Linked DNA regions of Sus scrofa. The protein of the gene in region 1 purifies or fractionates together with the protein of each later gene. This does not show direct contact. Links are inferred from orthologs where the notes say so. Each region holds a gene or a part of one and is shown in the gene's direction. Other genes may lie near its edges.

Region 1 (3,619 bases):
ATTGAGACATAGTTTATATACCATAAAATTCATTTATTGGAGTTCCCGTTGTAGCTCAGCAGAAATGAATCTGACTAGTATCCATGAGGATGCAGGTTCGATCCCTGGCCTTGTTCAGTGGGTTAAGGAATCGGTGTTGCCGAGAGCTATGGTGTAGGTTGCAAACGTGGCTCAGATCCCGAGCTGCTGTGGCTGTGGTGCAGGCTGGCAACTGCAGCTCCAATTTGACCCCTAGCCTGGGAACCTCCCTGTGCCATGGGTGCAGCCCTAAAAAGCAAAAAAATAAAAAAGAGCTTCTGGAGTTCCCTTTGTGGCCCAGTGATAACAAACCCACCTAGTATCCATGAGGACATGGGTGCCATCCCTGGCCTCAGTGGGTTAAGGATCTGGCGTTGCCCTGATCTGTGGTGTAGGTCACAGACGCAGCTTGGATTCTGCTGTGGCACAGGCCAGCAGCTACAACTCTTGATTTAACCCCCTAGCCTGGGAACCTCCGTATGCCGCAGGTGCAGCCCTATAAAAACAAAAGAAAAAAGAAAAAGAATAGCGCTTCTTTTCTTGCCTACTTGTCTTCTTTAAATAAGGCATTGGATTCCCCCCCCCTTATTTCTTTGCTTTTTTTCTCCATTCTTCTTGCCCAGGGAGCACAATACTTGGGAACCTGAGAAAAATTTGGATTGCCCTGAGCTAATTTCTGAGTTCATGAAAAAGTATAAGAAGATGAAGGAGGGTGAAAATAACAAACCGAGGGAGAAGTCAGAAAGTAACAAGAGGAAATCCAATTTCTCCAACAGTGCTGATGATATCAAATCCAAAAAAAAGAGAGAGGTAAGCTTTATTTTCCTTTTTCCTCAACAACCTATTTCTTCTGCCACTGTGGCTCCCCCTTCCCCCCAAAAAGGGCATTATTTTGGTTGTTTCCCTTCTCTGGATGGCTACAAGGTAAATTGTTGAACAATAGAGCGTCCAGGGAGATATGTTGATTGACTACAGCGCCCCCTCCTGACTGAGTGAGGAACATAATATGAGTCCTCTAAATTGGGGTTAAGGTGGGAAAATGAAATCCTTGGAAAACATCTCATACTCTGCCTTATTCATGAATACAGGCAGAGTTATCTTAGAGTCTTTGGTGAATTTTGTAAGGATAGAAAGGAACTTTAAAATGTCTTACCATTTCACTTTTTTCTTTCGTGCCAAAATTAACACTTATTTTCAACCCTTTATAATTCTCTGTCTTTTAAAATTAAGGTGAAATCCACAGAACATATAGTTTACCATTTTGAAGTGTACAGTTCAGTGGCATGTATATTCCCTTCTGATCCTACTATGTTTTTACATTAAATAAGAAATTAGTTTTCATTTTCCTTTTGGATGTTTTTATTGTTCAGTTTGGAAAGTATGTTTATGAAATTTTGGTTTAATTCAGTTGCTTTGATCCTTCTGATCTTTAGCTCTCAAGTAACTAGCCATAAGCACTATTATTGCCTCTCTTCTTTTTTCATTTATATCTTTTCCATCTGTACACACATATACAGATAACCCACCTCCCCAGCTTCTACTGCTTTCATTTATTTCAAGGCTGTGAAGCCTTTTGTGGTGAAAGATGTATCATACCCTTAAAGTTTAATAAAATAAAAGCATAAGTCTGCTTCTGAATCTTGTAGTGTCACTGCCATAAACATCCCTATTTATCTTCGTTTTCCTTGGATACCCATGTTTCTAGAGCATCAGTTCTGAGCCCTGGCTGCACATTAGAATCACCACAGGAGGTTAGGGGACAATGCTTCAAAAAACTCCACTGCCCAAGATAACACCCCAGACTAATTAAGTTCAAATTTCCGTGGATTGGACATTGTCATCAGTGTTTTATAGAGACTTGCACAAGTGATTCCTGACCTCCAGAGGAGAGAAAATGGGAGACCAGCTTTCCAAAAAGAATGGAAATAAGAGTGAAAGATTGGAGGCTCCCAGTGAAAGTGGATTCTAGGTTTTTGTCTGTCTCCTTATTTGTTTCCATGATTAATTTTATTTTTTACAATCTTATTTTTAAAACTGCCCTGTTCTGATGAGGTGTGTATAACATTTGATATAGTGTACTGATAAATAATTTGAGAATGCCTTCTCTTCTCTAAGGAGCTAAGATTTGATTCTTTCTTTTTTTTTATTAGTCCTTTGTATTTTGGTTTTGTCATTTGATTCATTTTCTAGCTAAGTAAAGAGACTGAAAAACAACACAGCATAAGACCTGTATAGCCATTTGTGACATATAGTTTGTATTTCCTCAACTTACAGTTTCTCTCCTTTTAAAAATGAGCAATCTGACTTTGAGCCACTGGCCAGTGTAGAGAGTTTCATTCCTAGGCCAGGTTCTGATGCTGCTGACCTTGAAAACCACCCCCACATGTCCCTTACATTGTAATGTTCATCTGGGGCCCCTTGACAGCATTCTCAGCAGTGCTGGCGGCTGTCAGGTAGGCAGCTGGGAAGATGGGTGATTGTGTGTTTTAAGGGTGCAGGAGGGGATTGCGTTTCTTTCTTTAGACCACTGCAGAAGAAATTTGTTAGTCGGCATTATGCCTGATTTAAGATTACTGCCTGTGTGATGATTTTAGCATTTTCCTCGCCTCGGCTCCTTTTCAGCATCTCGAACATTTTTCTTTCCTTCCCTCCCTATGTGGCAAACTGTTTTCAGCCGCCAGCTATGATTTACGACTCAGTTCGTGCGCCAGCATTCCAGCTGTGAGCAGCTGTGTGCACATCTGGGAACCTCCTCCTTTTAAGCACCCCCAAAAGAGGCTATGTTTTTAAGTCTGTATGTCCCCTGATCCATGCGTGGAATTTCCTTCCCAATGTTGGATTCTGGTATCTTTGGGGACCACCTGGACGCTGAATGCTTTGTATCTCAGAAGAAAGCAAGGCGAATATCAGAGCAAAGAGATTTTATTATGAAAATCAGATATCAGAGATTTAGTTCAATTGGGCAGTCTTTCTAAATCTTTTTTTGTATTGACACTAAATAAGCTTGCATTATCTTCCATAAAAAGGTTTTTTTTAATTACCTGGTTTGTATAAAATTTCACCATTTTGCTCTCACAAGTGGCAGCACACCTGAATCAGACTCTAATGCTCCTTGTCTGGACTGCGTGATTATCGTTTGACCAAGTCTGAATAATTCCTTACAGAATTATCAGTCTAGTTCTGCTCTCTTTTTTTATTTTTGTTTTTTTCGGGGGGCTTTTTTTGGCTGCAGCAAGCAGCAGCTTAATGTGGGATCTCAATTCCCAGACCAGAGATTGAACCTGGGCTGCAGCAGTGAAAGCGTGCGTCCTAACCACTAGACTACCAGGAAAGTCCCCAGTTCTGCTCTCTAATGCAATTGATCTATCCCCTTCAGGAAGGGATAGACATAGACCAGGGCCTCTTCCCCAAATGTGTGGGTGTTACAGTATGTGAGCTCTGAAAAGAAATTTTCTGTTTTATGATAATGCCTTGAATTATCCTTATCTCTGTTCTTCCATAAGCATAGATGACTCTGGGAAAAGAAGTATTAAAAATATTGGTCAGTGTTAGGTGAACTAAAAGTCTAAAAAAATAAAGATTAAGAGGTTTTATATTTGAA
Region 2 (4,115 bases), on another chromosome or scaffold:
TTTGCAATGGAGCTGAAAAAACGGAGTCAATGTGGTTCAGCCACAGTACCTTCGCTTTATGTAAGGTGCTGGTCATTCTGATTTTTTTCTTTTTTTGGTCTTTTTGCCCTAGAAAGGGCTGCTCCCGTGACATATGGAGGTTCCCAGGCTAGGGGTCGAATCAGAGCTGTAGCTGCTGGCCTACGCCACAGCCAGAAAAACGCCGGATCCTTAACCTACTGAGCAAGGCCAGGGATCGAACCCACAACCTCATGGTTTCTAGTCAGATTCGTTAACCACTGCGCCATGACGGAAACTCCTGGTCATTCTGATTTTTCATCCTTTGTCTCAAATATATATGTGTATATATACATAAACGGTGTATTCGGGAGTTCCCATGCAGTGGTTAACGAATCCGACTAGGAACCATGAGATTGCAGGTTCGATCCCTGGCCTTGCTTAGTGGGTTAAGGATCCCGCGTAGCTGTGATCTGTGGTGTAGGTTGCAGACGAGGCTCGGATCCCGCATTGCTGTGGCTCTGGCATAGGCCAGCGGCTACAGCTCCGAATCCACCCCTAGCCTAGGAACCTCCATATCCCACAGAAGCGGCCCAAGAAAAATGGCAAAAAGACCAAAAACAAACAAACAAAAAAAAGCCGGTGTCTTCGACTTCTAATAGGCGTAATAGGTCTCGGAGTTTTCTGATAGACTATCTCCTGGTTTATAATTCTCAGCTTGGCTCAAATAAAATTTTCTATTTCTCCTTTAGATCGACTATTGATTATTTTTTCCTTGACAGGAGGAACTTGAGAGCACAAACGCGACAGAGGCAACAGGTGGGAGAAGAGAGCTCCGGCTCAATCCCGGCCTTCTTCTCCGCTCCCTCCCATTACTCCAGTTGGAGGCCGCCAGCAAAACAGACGGCAAGACCAACCCCAGTCTTCCTTGTCCTCTTGGGCTGGGACTGGAGAGAGCAAGCGAAAACGAGTCGTGCAAAGTAGGGCAAAGCAGGTGCGCATGCCTAGCAGGTCTCGAAAGAGGCGGGAGCTGGGGATAGATGCCAATACGCAAGCGCAGCAGGTCCCCTTAAAATAGGCGCGCGCTGCGCTAGGACTCAACACGCAGGCGCAGAGGCATCCCATAGAAGGGCCAGCGCCAGAGGGCATTAGCGCGCAGGCGTCCCGCCAGGGGGGGCGGAGCCCGAGATGTGGGCAGCGGATTTCCGGTTCCTGGAGCAACGAACGGTCGCGGCGGCGACAGCTACCGCTTCGGAGGAAGCGGCTGTGGAGAAGGAAGAAGGGAAGCTGGACGGGGCGGGAGTCAAAACCGGGACCCTCGTCATGGGTCCGCGAACCTAGAGCGGCGGAAGGTACCGGCCGGGAGCCGAGCTGGTGAGACAGTGGTGGGGGTGGAAATGAAGATCGCTCAGGCGGGGAATGGGGAAGAATTGAGGCTCAGAACGCTGATCGAGAGCAATGAAGGGCCCTCAGGCCGATGTGTAGGAGGAATGGCGGCGTCGGAATATTGAAAGGGAGTAATGGGGAGATTTAGGCGGAGGACGGGGAGGAATGGGGCTCAGAAGGCTGACAGGTGGAAGTGTCGGATCTTGGACGAGGACGGAGAGGAAAAGGGGAGGATCCGAACGCTGAGCGGGACATATCGGGGCCTCTCAGGTTAAGGAAAGAGAAATGGGGGTTTAGAACGCTGAAGGGGAGAAAAGAGGGATCTTCAGGCTAATAACGAGGGAAAATGGGGCTTTGGAATGCTGAAAGGGAGGGACGGGGTTCTCCTATAGAGGATGATGAGAGATAGGGGGTCAGAACACTGACAGTTAGGGATGGCATGATCTGGACCAAGAGGAAGAGGGGTGGGGAGTTCAGAATGCTGAAGGGAGAAATCAGGGTTTCTCAGGCTGATGAGAGGAATAGAGGATGAGGACGCTGAAGGGAACTTTTTAGCTTTGGAAGATGGAAATAGGGAGGTTTGGGGGCTTGGGAAGGACTTGAGTCTCAGAACACTGACAAAGGGAAAGTAAGGTGGGGAAGTCTTTCAGTTTGAGGAACAGAAGGAATGAAGGGTTATTCAGGTCAAAAATGTGGAGAATTTGGGGGACTCTCTGGCATAGGACACAGAAGAAATTGAGGCAATAACACCAAGGCAGCAGGATAAGAGGACAGCATAGAGGGAAGGAATGGGAAGGATAAAGGATTGCAAGAGAGAAATTAGTGACTCTTGGGTCAAGGAAGGGAATAAATGGGAGGTCAGGACACCGAGGTAGAGTACTGGGACTTTAGTCTGAGGAGGAGTCCTGTGGGGGCCTCTTGGACTGAGAATGGGAGGAATGAGGTCTCTCAGGCTGAGGATGGGGAGGGATGGGGATTAGGACCCTGAAAGTGAGGAATGCATTGAGGGTAGGGACCCTTGAGTTGAGGATGGGGCTACCAGATCAAGAAGGGGGATGAATGACACAAGCTGCTGGGCCCAGGACAGGAAAGAATGGAGTGGCGATGGGGGTTTTTCTCTTCCTTATATTGTCCAGTTGCTTGTGACAGGTCTTAGGTTTTAAACAAGCATTAATTGATGCCACCACACATTTGTGTGTCCTGGGGCACAGCATGTCCCTTCCTAGAGCCTCAGTTTCTCCCACTGCCCCCTCCATGTTGCAGGCCGCCGTTCCTTCCTGTGGCCCCCATGGCTGAGGACTGGCTGGACTGCCCGGCCCTGGGCCCTGGCTGGAAGCGCCGTGAGGTCTTTCGAAAGTCAGGTGCCACCTGCGGACGCTCAGACACCTATTACCAGAGGTACTGGGTGGGTTGTGGACAGAATCAGGGGTTAGAGCTGAGCCCGATTAGGCAGGGTAAAATCAGGGGGTGTGGTTAAATTTATGGGCAGGATTAAATTATGCATGTACAGTTGATCCTTATTATTTGCAGATTCCATATTTGCAAATTTGTTTACTCATTAAAATTTGTTTGTACCCCCAGAGTCATACTCACTGCTTTCATGGTCATTTGTGGATGTGCACAGAGCAGCAAAAAATAAGTTGCCTGATGCATGTGTTCCCAGCCGAGGTTGAATTAGGCTTTCTTCTTTTCAGCCCTTGTATTGTAAACAAGTATTCTTTTTGAGGTCTACTTAGCGTCTTGTTTTTTTTTTTTTTTTTTTTTTTTGCATTTTTTTTGTGGTTTTTAATGGTTATTTTTGCTGTTTATAGTTGTCCCCAAGTGTAGTGTTGATGTGCTGCCTAGTGTTCTAAGTGTAAGAAATCTGATGTGGTATAGGAGAAAATACATGTTAAATAAGCTTTGTTCAAGAATGAGTTGCAGTGCTGTTGGCAGTGAGTTCAATATTAATGAGTCAAAAAGGCAGTATACCTAGAAAAAGAAGAGGAAGTTTGCCAGTTAGTACATGAGACTGCTCTAGAAAGTGCTAAATTAACATCTATAGTATGTGATGAAGCTAAGGAAAAGGTGGGAGTTCTCTTGTGGATCAGCAGGTTAAGGATCCAGTGTTATCACTAGTGGCTTGGGTCACTGCTGTGGCACAGGTTTGATTTCTGGCCTGGGAACTTCCTCATGCCATGCATGTGGCCAAAAAAGGGGGGGGGAGAAGTGGATAAATGTATTGATCCATGAGATGATGACCAAAGTGTAGTAGATAGTGTTGTGAGGCTGAAAGCAAAGGACATTAATGATCATGTTACCTAGGGTTAGGAAAATGTTAAGCCTGTCTCAGCTAGTTCAGGCTGGCTCACACATTTTACAAGTTGATACATCGTGAAAAGTGTTAAATTTGCAAGGGAGTCAGGTTCTGCAGATCAGAGTCTGGAAGAATTTTAAAAACACCTGTTAAGTGTTATATGGATAAAGGGTTATCTAGAAGGGTAGCTAGCTTTTCAATGCTGATGAGATTAGCTTGTTTTAGAAGGACATTGACAAAGGAACCTATATAACACAGATGACTTCCAAAGCTCCTGGCTTTATGTCATTCAGAGGCCATGCAATTAATTATTTGTAAGAATAATATATTAAGCAGAGTGTCTTTAAACATAAATACACAGTATAAACAAGGTTATATACTGATCAATTGACAAAAATGTGACCAGAGGCTTGCAGGACCCTAACCTGTAGTTCCA

Evidence for each region.
Region 2: the proteins of CBX5 (region 1) and MBD1 purify together in Homo sapiens (affinity purification with western blotting; 3 studies listed by BioGRID and IntAct, with this or other methods). This does not show direct contact. The link is inferred for Sus scrofa from reciprocal best matches to the Homo sapiens genes CBX5 and MBD1.

Annotation. Positions count from the first base shown.
Region 1 is NC_010447.5:19,456,994-19,460,612, reverse strand, and holds part of CBX5 (chromobox protein homolog 5), read left to right. Parts: intron 1-641; coding exon 642-828; intron 829-3,619. UniProt on the Homo sapiens protein: Component of heterochromatin that recognizes and binds histone H3 tails methylated at 'Lys-9' (H3K9me), leading to epigenetic repression. In contrast, it is excluded from chromatin when 'Tyr-41' of histone H3 is phosphorylated (H3Y41ph).
Region 2 is NC_010443.5:99,914,425-99,918,539, reverse strand, and holds the start of MBD1 (methyl-CpG-binding domain protein 1), read left to right. Parts: upstream 1-1,218; 5' UTR 1,219-1,371; intron 1,372-2,646; 5' UTR 2,647-2,671; coding exon 2,672-2,781; intron 2,782-4,115. UniProt on the Homo sapiens protein: Transcriptional repressor that binds CpG islands in promoters where the DNA is methylated at position 5 of cytosine within CpG dinucleotides. Binding is abolished by the presence of 7-mG that is produced by DNA damage by methylmethanesulfonate (MMS).